Linked DNA regions of Drosophila melanogaster. The protein of the gene in region 2 interacts with the protein of the main gene of each other region in a pairwise test. Each region holds a gene or a part of one and is shown on either strand. Other genes may lie near its edges.

Region 1 (7,437 bases), on a different chromosome or scaffold from region 2:
GCAATTGCAGAGACCCTACCCTTCTCCTTCTCCATGTTCGAAAAAGTGGAAAACTCGCCGCCAAAAAATGAGGATTGAAAAAAAAAAAGGAAAACAGAAACGACAACGGCCGACCTTCCTCCTCTTCGGTGGCCATCATCAAAAATTTTTGTTGGCCAGCTGAGAACAAACAGTCAAGTCAACGTTGCGTGTCGCCCCCTTTGCATATTTGCCTTAATTTTCATTATTCTCATATTCATTTCGTTTTTATTTCTTTCCGGCCTTTAATGGGCCGCGATTTGAGGGAATGATGAGAAATGCTGATGGGCCAAGTTAATATGAATGAATGATGATAAATGCGCAATGTTTTTGTTCATAATTAATTTGTACTGTTCCCCTCATTTTTTTTATTTTTATTTTTCATTCTTTTGCTCGAGCCTAAATTGCCCATTAATGGCACGAGTGTCACGTTTCTGTTGCTGTTTTTTCTTTTTTTTTGCAGGGTAACTCAGTAGGCCACTTGCATGTTGGCCAAAACGGTATCAACAGGTGTGCAGATTTCATCGTTCGATTCCGGATAAAAGCACATCAACTCGCATCGTAAATTTATCGTAAAGACAACGCTTAAAATATTTATGGCATATATGCTATTTTTAGGTGCAGCAGTTATTTTATTTATTATTTTTCCATTCCAGTTTGATAAGCATCGAAATGAGCAATATAGTCTGCTTTACTTTTGATTTTATAATCTCTGATAAAAAAACGAACTTATGAGTATGTAGGTGAACACATGACTTTTTGATATCATTTAGCTGGACAACTGGATCGAATGAATTGTAAATATGTCAATGTACAGCAAATAAATGAAATGCCACGTAGAACAGAGTACTTCTTTCAGACCCATAAAGTTGTTTGAGTTCCCCGCCAACTGAAATATATTTTTCAATATTTTATATCGACAAAATGCAGCCCAACTTTTCTAGATCCACCAACATTTTCCATTGCCCAAAATGGATTCACACCATCGGCTGTCATAGCCAGTGGTTTCCCCTTGAGAACTTCCACTTCAACTTCAACTTCCAAATGCAAAAGACCAGGTGAGTGTGACAGAGTTATAGAGTTGTATGCAAACACATCTACCTGGCCACTCAAGTGCGGCAATCTGAGCGTGACGAATAATGATTTTACGCCGCTCCAAAGAATTACGAACGATGGTAATGGCGATGGTAATGGTGATGGTATATATGACTCTATCCTATGGCTCGGTATCTGAACGGATTTGCTGAACTTTGCTGTTACGGAGGAGGAGGAGGAGGAGGAGGAGGAGGGTTTCTTCTCTTTAAGAATTGAATCTGGCGAAAAGTGTGCAAATTGTGCGCGAGTTTCTGTGCCCGAGCGGATAAATTTGAATTCTGCATTTAGTTGGCTTATTGAGTTTGCATCCGTATATCTGTCGTGCTCGCTGGCAGCTCCTTTTAAGCCAACTATTCCAATGACTAATTTCATTTGGCTGCAGTTTGCCCGAAAGCCAAAGAGGCGTCATGCGAAGACAGCAAAAGGGGGTGGGGGAATACACAGGGAATATTTGCTTACTATTCAGATATTTATTAGATTAGTCTTCGATTTGTTGTCAGGTTATAGATACATCTTTATTAAAAAGAATGCTAAAAGATAGATAGAATATTTAATTCTTTTATGTTTCGATTTAAGCCAAATCTTTTATGGACTTATTCTGTTAAATATCTATAAGATAGTTCAGAAATAAAACTAGAAGCTGAACATTGATTTCCTGCAGAATATGACTTTATTTAGTTCAGTTATATGTAAAACTGCTTAGATCCATGCATTTGAAATTAAATAACTTCTTGCAAAGTCGCGCATAAACGTTTCTTTATTTTCAGGCCTTATTGTCTTAGTGTCTTATAAATGGCTAATTTCTTGAGTTTTTTTTTCTGTGTGTAGATGTAATATGGGCACTTGGGCAGCAGCACTTTTGGGCCACTTGTTTCTCGAAATTGAAAACCATGAGGCGCATTTAAAAAGATGAAGTGACAACTGGCATACTGATGACGACACACAGGAGAAGGGCTTGGGGGGTGCACGGGTAGGGGGAAGGGTGAGGGGAGGAGCTGTAAGTGTGTGTGTGGAGCGTATAAATATAACAAGTGCCAAGTGAAATATGTACATAAATAAGCCAGCGCAGAGATACTATGCGACGTAGACACAGATACAGTGCTCACTGGCCCTAAAAGATACATTTTGAAATAGTATCTGTTATGTTTGTGAAAGTCAACTGAGTGCATTTTCTATTAGTTAAGATGTTTTTAGTGGTTCTCATAAGAACTTTTGAAGGATTATAAAAAGTCCATTGAATTGCACCTTTTTTGCAACTTTAAATGGTTTTCTAGATTTCAAAATACATCTTTTCAACGAATTTGTTCTCCTGTTTTTTTTTAATGTTTTTCTTATTGGTTCTTCACTGTACCGCTTTTGTCTATTATCGCCGTTTTATGTGTCTGTTTCTACCGCTGCATTTGTGCATTTTTGCATTTCTGCCCTCTTCCAGCAGCTGCGACTAATTGTTGAAAGAAAAAAATGTATTAAACGAAAAAACAAAAAACAAGAGGAATGGAAAAAATGTTGGCGGATAAAAAAAAGGACTAGGGGACAAAAGGAGGCAGGATGCAAAGGACTTGTTCGCGCTGCTGACTGCGAAAAGTGCAACAAACTTTGACAAAATAAAACGAAAATTCCGCCCAAAGGTACAAACGGGGCGTGGCAATGGGGGCGGCGAACCGATGAAGCGCCCCTTCTTGCAACTTCAAATCGCAAGCACACACACAACCACACACACAACCACACACACACAGACAGTCAGCCGCAGCTGGAGATTCTCACACACATGTGAAAAAATCGCGAGTTGCATGAAAAAAAAGAAACTGCATTGAAATTGAAGCACTCTCATTAGGAGGAAGAAGCAGAAGAAGTTGCAGCAGGAACCAGAAGAAGAAGAAGAAGAGGACGCAGAAGAAGAAGGTGATGAAGACCAGGAGACGAGAAAGCGCAAAAAGTGGTAACCGCAGCAAAAATAATTCCCATTTTTCGAAAGCGATGGCAAAAGCAAAGATAACAGCTTAACTGTTGATGGAAAATGCATTAAAATAAGTACATAAGCTGCATACAAATTTCAGGCACTAAACTGAATAAATATTAATGGGATTTCAAAATGTTGAACAAATATTACGGGTAAATCATAATAATAATATATTCACTGGCAGCTTTTTGTTGTTCACGCTTAAATGTGCAAGCTGTAGTGTTAATAAAAACGTTACTTAAACTTAAACATAAACTTAAACTACAATATGATTAACATTGCTTTCCAGTTCGAAAACGTAACAAGCTGCAATATCTCAATATTTTACGAAAGGGCCACGTAGGTGACGAAAAAAGTACAAAGTTGAAAATCAAATTGAATGACACGAAACAACTCATCAAAAACTTTTAAGATAAGCCTCTTACTAGTTCAATCTAGATTTTTACTTGCAACAGCGGCTAAAATATCAATAAATTAACTGATTAGGCAAAACATATATAGAACGAGGAATTTATATTAGTTAAAAGGTAAATAGTAAACCAATTTAGGGACGAATGCAACAAAGTAAACAGCGCAGATAAATAATGCTTCAGAATGTAATTGGCTAAGCGGCATATTTACCTGATTTGTTGTTGTTTTGGCGGCAGGTTTCCCATTAAACATTGTAAAGCAACAACAACAACAATAACAGCTGTCTCTCTTTCTCTCCCGCTTTCGCACTCCTGTTGTTATTGCTGTCTCGTTCTGGCAAGGAGTTTCGGTGCTGTTGTTGTTGCTGCCGCTAACTATTGTTGCTTGCACTTGTTGTATTTTTGTCACACAAACAAACAAACACGCACACACGCTCGCACACAATGTTGCACGTTGCGTGTGCCCTGCTGCTGCTGCTTCTTCTTCTTTCGTTACTTGCCGCGCCGCACGCTCTTCCTCTTACACTTCCCAAAGCCCCTTACCAATTGACCAATGGCATCGGAATCGGAATCGTAAACAAATGCAGCGCGCTCGCACTCTTCGTCACTCGAATGCTTTCGTCACGTCACCGTGTTCTCGCTTCTTTTTGCAGCAAATATGCACTCGATTCGCACTTTTCGCGACGACAACCGATTTTGGAGCTGTTTGGGGGCAGAGTGTGACCGTCGGGCGCAGCGGGCTGCACGTCGACTGCGGCGTCGCTGAAATTACCTAAAATATCTGTATGGCGCAATGGTGTGGCGTGGTGTTTGGTTACTACGCTGGAACGGTCACACTGGAAAAGAAAGCTCAATGCATTTAGCCAAGACAGGAACCAGTCGAAAGCTTAAATCGCCAGCTGTCGGCGGTTAGGCAAACTGCTACGGCTCGACTTTCTCCAGCTCGTCATAGGTGGCGCCACGGTTAGTGCAGATAATCATCTCATAGGTGGCGCCAATGATAGTGTTAAGATTAAGGCCTTTTAGCAACTTTCCTATAAAATAAATTGCGAAAAAAAGTATTTCCATGGGAAACTTTGTGCTGTCAAATAAGTGCTTAAAACATGTATTGATTACAACGTGTGCACATTAATAAGCTATGAAATAAAACGCTACGCCCGCCACTAATGAATTGACTTTAACTTTATGAAACGTTTTAATAAACTTTTCAATATACAAAGAAAGTTACAAAGAGTTTCGATACCTATAACTTTTTACCTCGGCAGACGAAAGGTCGAGTTATAAAGCATCGAGTGCATATATGTACACATTCTGATAACTGCGATATCTGTCTGAGTTTTACGATGCAGTGTTTGTTAAGTCAGTGGGCGAAGGCAAATGGTTAATTATGTTACAAGTTGACGCAAATTTATGGCCAACTAATCAATTGATTGTTGCTAATTGATAACCGATGTGATAACATAAGGCCCGCATATAGAAGAAATTCCTCACATCCGCAATACCTCGAAATTTCTATGACAACCACTTTGAACTATTATCACCAAAACTCTATGAAAGGGGTACTTTTTTTTTAGAATTACTGGGTGCATTACCATAAATTTTATCAGTTACGTTGCTCGATGTCGATCGAATTAAACTTAAATTTATACTTTAATCTGTATACTTCTGTTGTGTGTGTAAAAAATAGATTTATTAAAAAAAAAATGGAATAAAGGCAAAGCTGTCCGTCTAGATCCTCACCAGAACCTCGTAATTCTCCAGACGCACCTCCTCGCCACCGAATGGGATGTAGATGCAGCCGTGCGAGGGATGGATCTTGCCCACACTCAAGCTGTCGCAGTAGATGGCCCTGCCGACGTAGAGGGGCTCCCCGTCGACATTCGGACCGGAGGACAGGGCTCCGGGAGCCACATTTCCGTGCGAGGCCGGAACCCAACGGAATCCGGATCCCGTCAGCACCTGGACGTCGGTGAGCTCGTGCTCCGCCTGGGCATAGGCGGCATAGGCTTTCCCCTTCGCCGGCACCACTTTGGCTGGCAGCAGATCACCATTGCGGAACACCCTGCCCACGTAGATGGTGTCCCCGTTGGAATCGTGCCCAGCAACCAGAGCTCCATCCGGAATATTTGTTGCGGTGGTGTCGATCCAACGTTCCGGCTGGCACAGCACCTCGTAGGCAAAGATCTTAACCTCATCGGAATCGTAGGGAATATACAGGCAGCCGTGGGATGGATGCACCTTGCCCATGGTTAAGCTGCCGGCATGATAACCCCTGCCCGCATACAAATACTCGCCGTCCACATTCCGACCAACTTTGACGGCGCCCGGCGGCACCTCCCCGTTCTCCGCCGACAGCCACTCGTAGTTGTAGCCGGAAAGCACCTCGTAGTTCTCCAGCTCGTGCTCCTCGCGCGCATACGCCACGTAGGCCTTGCCCTTGTTGGGAATCACCTTCGCCGGCAGCATGTCGTTGGAGAAGAAGGCACGGCCCACGTAGATGGTGTCCCCGTCCGAATCGTGACCAGCCACCACGGCATTCGGCGGCACGCTGCCGTTGCTGAAGTGCATCCATCTGTGGTCTGGGGGATAATGGAAAAATGAAACGATTATTTAACAGCACACCGAATGGTATAACTCTTTAATTCTGTTGTTCATGGCAAGTAAACTAGTTTATTTGGCTAGGCCAAGTTAGTTTCCAAAATTGAATTAATTTATTTTGAGTTTCAACTGATTAAGTACTTTAAAGATTGGTAACTGTTTTATATCATCCACCTAGTTAAATGTTTTCATTTTTTGTTATGGCATCTTGGCCTTACGACCTATTTACCTGCCATTTTCTTGTCCGTTCTTCAGCAGCTCTGACTTTCAACTGTGAAAGTGGTCGATTTGATGGTCTTTTTGTGTTTCCGCCTCGATGTCGCTGATAGGGCTTATCGGGAATATACCTACATGGCCAGATAAGAAGCCCGACCTCAAGTGACTCAGATCTTGGCAAACTCTTGTTGAATTTCTAATCGATTGGCCAATTGGAAGTAATGGGGTTTAACATCGAGAAACAGGCAAGTTTATTTTATTAACCCATATAGTGAAAGTAAATATTGCACTAGAAATGTTATAAATGTTAAGTAAATTTGATTTATATTTTATTTTTTTATCTCGTTATAATTTATACATTTAAAATTCTTTCGAGTCGTCAAGAATGTAATTGCATTCATAATATCATAATGGTTATTACTTTTTTTTTTGTTGCCGACAAACTTTCTCGCTTATTGTTTGTTACATATAGCATATACATATTTCATGGAGCTGTAGTTAAACACAAAAAGTTTATTCCGCTTTTTAACATACTAATAACAATAGCTTGCGCGTTTACAACTCGTGGTTAACCAGTTATCTCGTTCATTTGTTGTGCCACCTTTTCGAGTTGCCTTACATCCGTGCATGTATCTCCATTTAACCGCCCAATATTCGCCAATTTGAATGGGGGAATCGCTTGATCCTTTATTTATTCGCCACATTGCAAATTTCTTGCGCGCGCTTTTCCGCTTTCCCACTTTTCCGCATTTCCACTCGTCCAGTCGTCCACGCACTTCACTTATTTAGTGGTCGCTGTCTTTGCAGTTCGTTTTCGTTCGTTTTCCTTTTGTTTTCCCAGCATTGTTGCCTCTTTGAATGATTTTTCTTGTTTTGCCTTTCAAGTGGATCACTGTTTTTTGTTTGCATTTTCGCCCATTTACAACTATTTGAACAAGGGAAAACGTGGAAAGCTGGGCGCAAAAGTTAAGAGGGGTTGCTGAAATTGCTGTGCAACGCAACGTTTGCACCTGTTTACAGTGGCTTGTGAATTCCCAATGCTGGACTGGTGGTAGGGGCTGTGTGGGGAGTGTCATTATTAAGCTTTACGATTTTTCCACGATTTCCCAGCAGCTTTGCGCGCCCTGCTCTCGAGCAAAC
Region 2 (7,015 bases):
CAACCAACATCAGCATCATCGTCGTCAACAAGTCGACGGTTACAATAAAGATTTTTTCCAAGTTCGCTACGATCATCTCCAGAACCTTGTTGCGAACCCATGACATGGAGAATCAGCAGCATTTACGAACTTCTCGGATCATCCAGACACGCAGAGCTGCCTTCCCTTCGATGGTTTAACGCAGTACCAGGTTGGCAGTATGGGAACTTAGTGCACAACCAATGTTACCCGTAAGATCCGCTTTCAAATAGATTTGCCAATTGTAAAAAGTCTGTGGACAGCCTTCGTCTTAGAAGGGGAGGAGTTAACACAATCACAAAACACCCGAAATATAGTCGTAAGCCTCAAGTGCTTTTCCCATCTATAGATCGAGCTTTACCTATAAGAAACTGTAACTTGTTAAGCTTTAGAGATAAGAACTCTTGCTATACTTAAGTTAGTCGATTTTGGAAGATTAGAAGCGTCGGTCATCGCCACGTACTTACTATTCGTCTCATTAAGTGCAGACCGCGCAAGCCCTATTGTAATTAATAAACTTACGCTAATAAATATATGGAAAATCTACTAAAATGATAATTTATATATTATTCTTCGGAGAAACCCGCAATGGGATCGATCGATAATGTTTACAATTTAAATTTTAAGTATACTTTTCTTTGTTCGATTATTTGGCATCGGCGAAGCCCACACGATCGTTGCCCATGTCAAACTCGGTGTAGTATTTGCCAATGAAAACGTCACCGAGGATCCACAAGGGTCCGTTTGGAGGGGGGATGTCCAAGCCCATAAAGCCGGACAGACAGATGGTCTTACCCATCTGGGCCACACGGAGAATATAGTCCTTGCCCTCGAGCTCGAAGGTCTTTCCGCCCAGCACAAACTTGATTACCGGCAATTGGGGAATGAGATCGCAAGAAACCACATACTAAAGTAAGAAATTAAGAGGATTAGCAGTGCTTCATGTGAGAACTTAGAGCATGGTACTCACCTGACCACCGATGATGGGAGTTCCACCAATCTTCTGGTTAATAGAGGTGGCCTCTTCCAAGGGCGCAGCAATTAGTGAGGTACCGGTGTCAGCGATCACCTGGCAACCGCCCTTGCACAGCTGCAAATCGCCAATGGAGGCGGCATCCATCTTGATTTGCCAGTAGGCCTTGCGGGTAACGGGCAAGTAGGTGAATTCACCAGTGTAGTGGTTGGGATCGGAGCCGCCAAAGATGATCTCACCGCCCTCGGGCGAGGCGGGATCGCGATTCAGGTAGAATGAGAACACCGGAGCGGAGATCAAACCCTGTTCGTACATGGCGTAAAATGGCGGCTTCACCTTGTCCACCGAGATGGAGTTGTAGCCCAGGCCTAGGATGCCGTCGAACTTGGCAGCTACGAAGACCAGGCCCGGCTCACTGAGCGCCTCAGCGAATGTCTGATCCTTGATGTCCAGGCCGGCAATGGACACCGTATCCGTGGACAGGTATCCGGACAAGCTGCCCGAGCCATACTGGATGGCGAACTCAGTGCCGTTCTTGGTGTAGGTCTTCGACTTGGAGGCATCGTACTTGTTGTGCATCAAACAGGCGATGTTGGTCAGGTGGCACTTCTTGGACGGCACCCACAAGTTCGAGGAGCCGGTGTCGAAAACCACACGGAAGTTCTGCGGTGGCGAGCCAATGGCAATGGGCCCATAGTACTGCGCGTCCATATAGTTGGACAGCGGTTCCGGCACATCACCTCCGCCGTACCTAATGCGCAATTGCTGCAGCTCCGTGCCCACATCCGCAAAGTGCCGGCGGGCCGACTGAAATTTGTGGAGCGGTACGCGCAGCAATCCGGGCTTCTCCTGCGAATTTGGGTGGGCCACGGCCGCAGCCAGGAAGGCGACTAGAAGCAGTGCAACCTTCTGCATTTTGATTTCTATGTTACGCTTCTCTGGTGGCTAAAACTGCAATGATCGCTGCAGTTAATTAAATATTGCGGCACAGCGAAAATGATTCAGCACAGATAATGTACTAAATTTGGCTTGGCGCGTCGTTTTGATTAGAGAGATTCGATAGTTTTTGTTGTAAACTAATGCAATTCTTTAATTTTCGGAATGTTTCTTTTTAATATTTCGCGTTTATGTATATATAATACAAATGTATCATTATTTCTACACATTTAGGAAGAGCTTGTATCATGACTACGATCTTACTTTAGAGACAATAAGGGAAAGCTAAAAAAGTATTTCCCATCTTTCATTTTTAAACGCTTTTATGAGCAAACAATTAACAATTATGATGAGCAACCTTAATGTATTAATTGATAATATAGATAACAATCGTAAGGAGCGGGTCGAAGCTGAATTTCGAATCTTTACTTGTATATATAAATTCTAATAAATTCATGATAACATGGAATTATATATTAAAATATGAATAGTAAGTTGTATTTTGAGCTTAAATGGTTCAAAAATATTACAAAAATAGTCTTCTTATAGTCACCTAAAATCCAGAGAAATAATTTTATACTATTGATTAAAATGAAATAAAAGTATTAAATATAGATAAAAGATATAGCTAATCCTTTCTAGTACTTTTTACAATCACTTATTACTCGACAAAGTTTGGATTTGACCTTAGCACAGACATCCAAATCGGAGATTAGGTCATCAATGTTCGTTCGGAACGGAGTAACTCTAGCAGTATCCTCGAATGACTGTTTGGCGCGCCGCATTCTTTCGTGAATCTCACTCATATCGAGCATCTTTCCAATAGAAAGCTCATGGTTGGTGGACAACAGTACCGAGAACAGAACGGCGGACTCCATGGAGACTTTGCTTCGATACCCAACGCAGGTTTTCTGCTCCATTTCATCGCTTTCCATGAGCACGGTTTGGCATCTTTTCAGGGAATCGCCTTTCTATAAAAATCGAGCAAAAATTAATATCATACTATTGGATTAAGAGAGTAAGAGATATAAGATTATAATGTGATGTGTAAGTGCCCGGATAACTGCATAAGGATAGATTAAATTAAATTAAAAAAAGGGTACTTATTGTTTATTAACGAAAGCAATTTTAAGTAAATACATTCATATTTATGCATGTACATAGTAAATTGGCATCAAAATTATTCGCCGACAGATATGCTTACCTTAATCTTCTTGATATCTTCAGGTTGGATAAAATGTTTCTGGCGCTGGACTACAAATCGAGCTGCAAGGTCACAATCCGGAGTGTACTGGTAGCCTTGGGCAACGCGCCTGAAGAATGGATGCAGATCCAGAAGCTTAAGGCGTTTTTGGGCCATCTCCGAAAGCTGATAGGTGTCCAGTTGGGGCAGAACTTCGGTTAGGAATAAATGGCACACTTCCTTGGCAGTGAGATCCCTGAAAGCCTCGTTCCTGGTGTTCCACTCCTTCCAGGCTGAAGCATCCTGGATGTAAAACAGACGGCACGACGCAACAGCGTAGTCGATCAACTCCCTGTGGATCGATTGTTCAGCATCGTGCAAAAGCGTAGATCGAGCAATACGGCCGATATTGGCATTAAATTCCGCTTCGTCCACAGTTTCGTCCATTTTCATTCCCAATATAAAACATTTTATTATAAAACAGTAAAGAATCGGTTTAATTTCAACGTGCGCTTTCAGATCTGCACTCTTTTTGTAATCGATAACTGCTGTGTATCGTATGCGGCACTGAGACTATTGAAATCTTAGGGAATGTTTAGGAAATAGGAACATCTGGAGTTAAATGTATTTCAAAACCGAAAGCCACAACTTTCCTTAAAATATTATGCCAAAAAAAAATCTACTAATATAAATTTAAACATAATACTTAATTCTTTATTTATGTTAATTCATAATAATTTCTCTTCCAAGGGAAGTGTATTTGGAGTGCGGCTACTAGCATAATTTTCACTCTCATTGAACAGCTGATAGAGTCGCCATATCGTTATACAGTTATGTTTACACTTGCTTCATATTGGCGCGAATCATTCAAGATTGTGGGTTAAATCGAATTAGTAAAAATCAAATCACGATTTTTCATTCATGTTCAGGTTCTTCCGCTGCAGGCGATGAAGCGTACGAAGGCGCAGAAGGCAGGTCCTTCCAAAAAGGCAGCAAAAAACGAGAAGGCCAGCTCCGAGCCCAAAAGTGACCAGGAAAGCAGCGATGAGGAGGCCTCCACATCGAAGGCTTTGTTGGTTTCTAAGCCGGATTACCAAAACTTCGAGCAGTTTCTTACCCACTTGGAACACCAGCGAGTCTGCACGGCAGCCAACATACAGGAGTTCTCTTTTCGAAAGAAACGAGTGCGCGTTCTGTCCAAAACCGAAGATGTAAAGGAATCCAGCCTAGGCGGCGTCGTCTACTGGATGTCCCGCGACGGGCGCGTACAGGACAACTGGGCCCTGCTCTTTGCCCAGCGTCTGGCTCTCAAGCTGGAATTACCCTTAACTGTGGTATTTTGCCTAGTTCCCAAATTCCTGAATGCCACTATCAGGCACTACAAATTCATGATGGGCGGCCTGCAGGAGGTGGAGCAGCAGTGTCGCGCCCTTGACATACCGTTTCACCTGCTGATGGGCTCCGCTGTTGAAAAGTTACCACAATTTGTGAAATCCAAGGACATCGGAGCCGTAGTCTGTGACTTTGCTCCGCTGCGTTTGCCACGCCAATGGGTCGAGGATGTGGGCAAGGCACTGCCCAAGAGCGTGCCGTTGGTGCAAGTCGATGCTCACAATGTAGTCCCCTTGTGGGTGGCCTCCGACAAACAGGAGTACGCTGCGCGTACCATCCGCAACAAGATCAACTCCAAGCTAGGGGAGTACCTCAGCGTATTCCCACCAGTTGTGCGGCATCCTCATGGAACTGGCTGCAAGAATGTGAATACCGTGGACTGGTCAGCTGCTTATGCTTCGCTGCAGTGCGACATGGAAGTGGACGAGGTGCAGTGGGCCAAGCCGGGGTATAAAGCAGCCTGCCAGCAGCTCTACGAGTTCTGCAGTCGTCGTTTGCGCCATTTCAATGACAAACGAAACGATCCCACGGCAGACGCCTTGTCCGGACTCTCGCCGTGGCTGCACTTTGGTCATATTTCGGCTCAGCGCTGTGCACTGGAGGTGCAGCGGTTTCGAGGACAACACAAAGCCTCGGCGGATGCGTTTTGCGAGGAGGCCATTGTGCGCCGCGAACTGGCGGATAACTTTTGCTTCTACAACGAGCACTATGATAGTCTTAAAGGTCTAAGTTCTTGGGCATATCAAACGCTAGATGCACATCGCAAGGACAAGCGAGATCCCTGCTACAGCTTAGAAGAACTAGAAAAGGTTCACCACGGATTCTTTTTCTTTTGATTTGAGACTAAAATGATTTTATAATTTTTTCCTAGTCTCTCACTTATGACGACCTGTGGAACTCGGCGCAACTGCAGCTGGTACGCGAGGGAAAGATGCACGGCTTTTTGCGCATGTACTGGGCCAAAAAGATTCTGGAATGGACAGCGACACCGGAGCATGCGTTGGAGTACGCAATCCTGCTGAACGACAAGTACAGTCTGGATGGTCGCGACCCCAACGGCTATGTGGGCTGCATGTGGTCCATTGGCGGCGTCCATGACATGGGCTGGAAGGAGCGGGCTATCTTCGGTAAGGTTAGGTACATGAACTATCAGGGATGCCGTCGCAAATTCGATGTAAATGCCTTTGTCATGCGATACGGCGGTAAGGTGCACAAGAAGAAATAAAACGTTTTCGGATTTGCCTTTGTTTTGAATGCAAGCCAAGAGCATTTTTTATTTAACCATAGATCCAAGAGGCTTTATAAAATATGACAAAATTACAGCTAGCGGGACAGAACTTAGTCCTTCTCGGCGATCTTGGTGAGGTGTTCCTCGATCTCCCGCTCATCCAAAATACGGAAAGTGGGATCAGACTTGCTGACCACGCCGATCTCAATGCCGTTCGGCTTGAAGTCTATAGCGAGCACACTGGACAGACAGGAGATGGCCAGCTGGATCGCTTTCTCCTCCGACAAGTTGGGCTTGTACTTCTTTTCCAGATAGCTGTTGGCCTCCAGAGTCTTGGCACCCACGCTGCAGGCCTTGAACCCGCTGAAGTAGCCAGCCGGGTCCGTCTTGTAAACGCTGGGGCCGATTTCATTGTCGTAAGCGATCAGCACCATGCTGCAGCCGAGCGGACGCATCTCGGCATTCTGCGTGTACACCTGGTTGATATCCGCAATTCGACGACACAGCACATCCACGGGCATTTCGTAGCCGTACTTGTAGCGGAAGTTGGCGGCCTCGTATCTGGCCTTCTGCACCTGTGAGCGGGAATCAGCTAGGGGAGAGAAATAATTTTAAGTATTTAGTGACACTCTTGGGTTGATATGTCCTCTTTTCTAGTTGAAGCACCGTGTGAAAACTACGTTTAAAATGGCTCCACGCTATACGCCTTTGCCCTAATGTCTGGCAGGCTATTTCTTCTGATTTTAGCACAATCATAAGTGAATCGCTACTTGGTTACATGGGACATATCAACAATGGGATAACTCTGTGCTAACTCGACTGGAATTTGACTCGAATCACGCCGGGATAAACAAGAATTTAAAGTATCTATGGTTCATACCTATGCGTCCGGTCATTGCGCATCCAATGTCCTTGGTGATGCGGAACAGGTGGGTCACCGTTTCAGGCACGATGTTCTTCTCGGTCACTTTTTTTTGGGTGGCCACCACGGCACAGTCGCCACTCTTCAGCGCCACCGTGGTGATGTTCTCCTGGGCAATAGCCTTGAAGGCGTACTCTGGCGGGGAAATGAGAATGTCAGACTGGATACAATGGAGCCGCAAGTGCCAGGATACTAACCCACTTGGTAGAGGCGTCCCTCCGGAGAGAAGATCGTGATGTGTCTGTCAAAGCCGGCTGAACTTCCGCGAGACATGATGCTTTCTTCGTGCTTCGATAGCTGCAATAGACAACGCCGGTTAAAATTCAGTTCTCAAGTCTGCCGCAAGCAACACACCTTTTGAAC

What was found.
Region 1: the proteins of phr (region 2) and Tpst interact in a two-hybrid assay, tested with the Drosophila melanogaster proteins (one large-scale study listed by BioGRID).

The regions. Positions count from the first base shown.
Region 1 is NC_004354.4:13,560,591-13,568,027, reverse strand, and holds the start of Tpst (tyrosylprotein sulfotransferase), read right to left. Parts: upstream 4,206-7,437; 5' UTR 3,695-4,205; intron 1-3,694. Other genes in the region: CG32633 (uncharacterized protein), read right to left, coding at 5,212-6,062, 6,311-6,317. UniProt on the Drosophila melanogaster protein: Catalyzes the O-sulfation of tyrosine residues within acidic motifs of polypeptides. Has a role in protein secretion.
Region 2 is NT_033778.4:7,821,561-7,828,575, forward strand, and holds phr (photorepair), read left to right. Parts: upstream 1-3,728; 5' UTR 3,729-3,943; coding exon 3,944-3,985; exon of another isoform or gene 3,986-4,039; coding exon 4,040-5,311; intron 5,312-5,373; coding exon 5,374-5,727; 3' UTR 5,728-5,759; downstream 5,760-7,015. Other genes in the region: cathD (cathepsin D), read right to left, coding at 665-925, 989-1,906; CG30383 (uncharacterized protein), read right to left, coding at 2,566-2,898, 3,132-3,563; Prosalpha1 (proteasome alpha1 subunit), read right to left, coding at 5,841-6,322, 6,611-6,787, 6,850-6,925.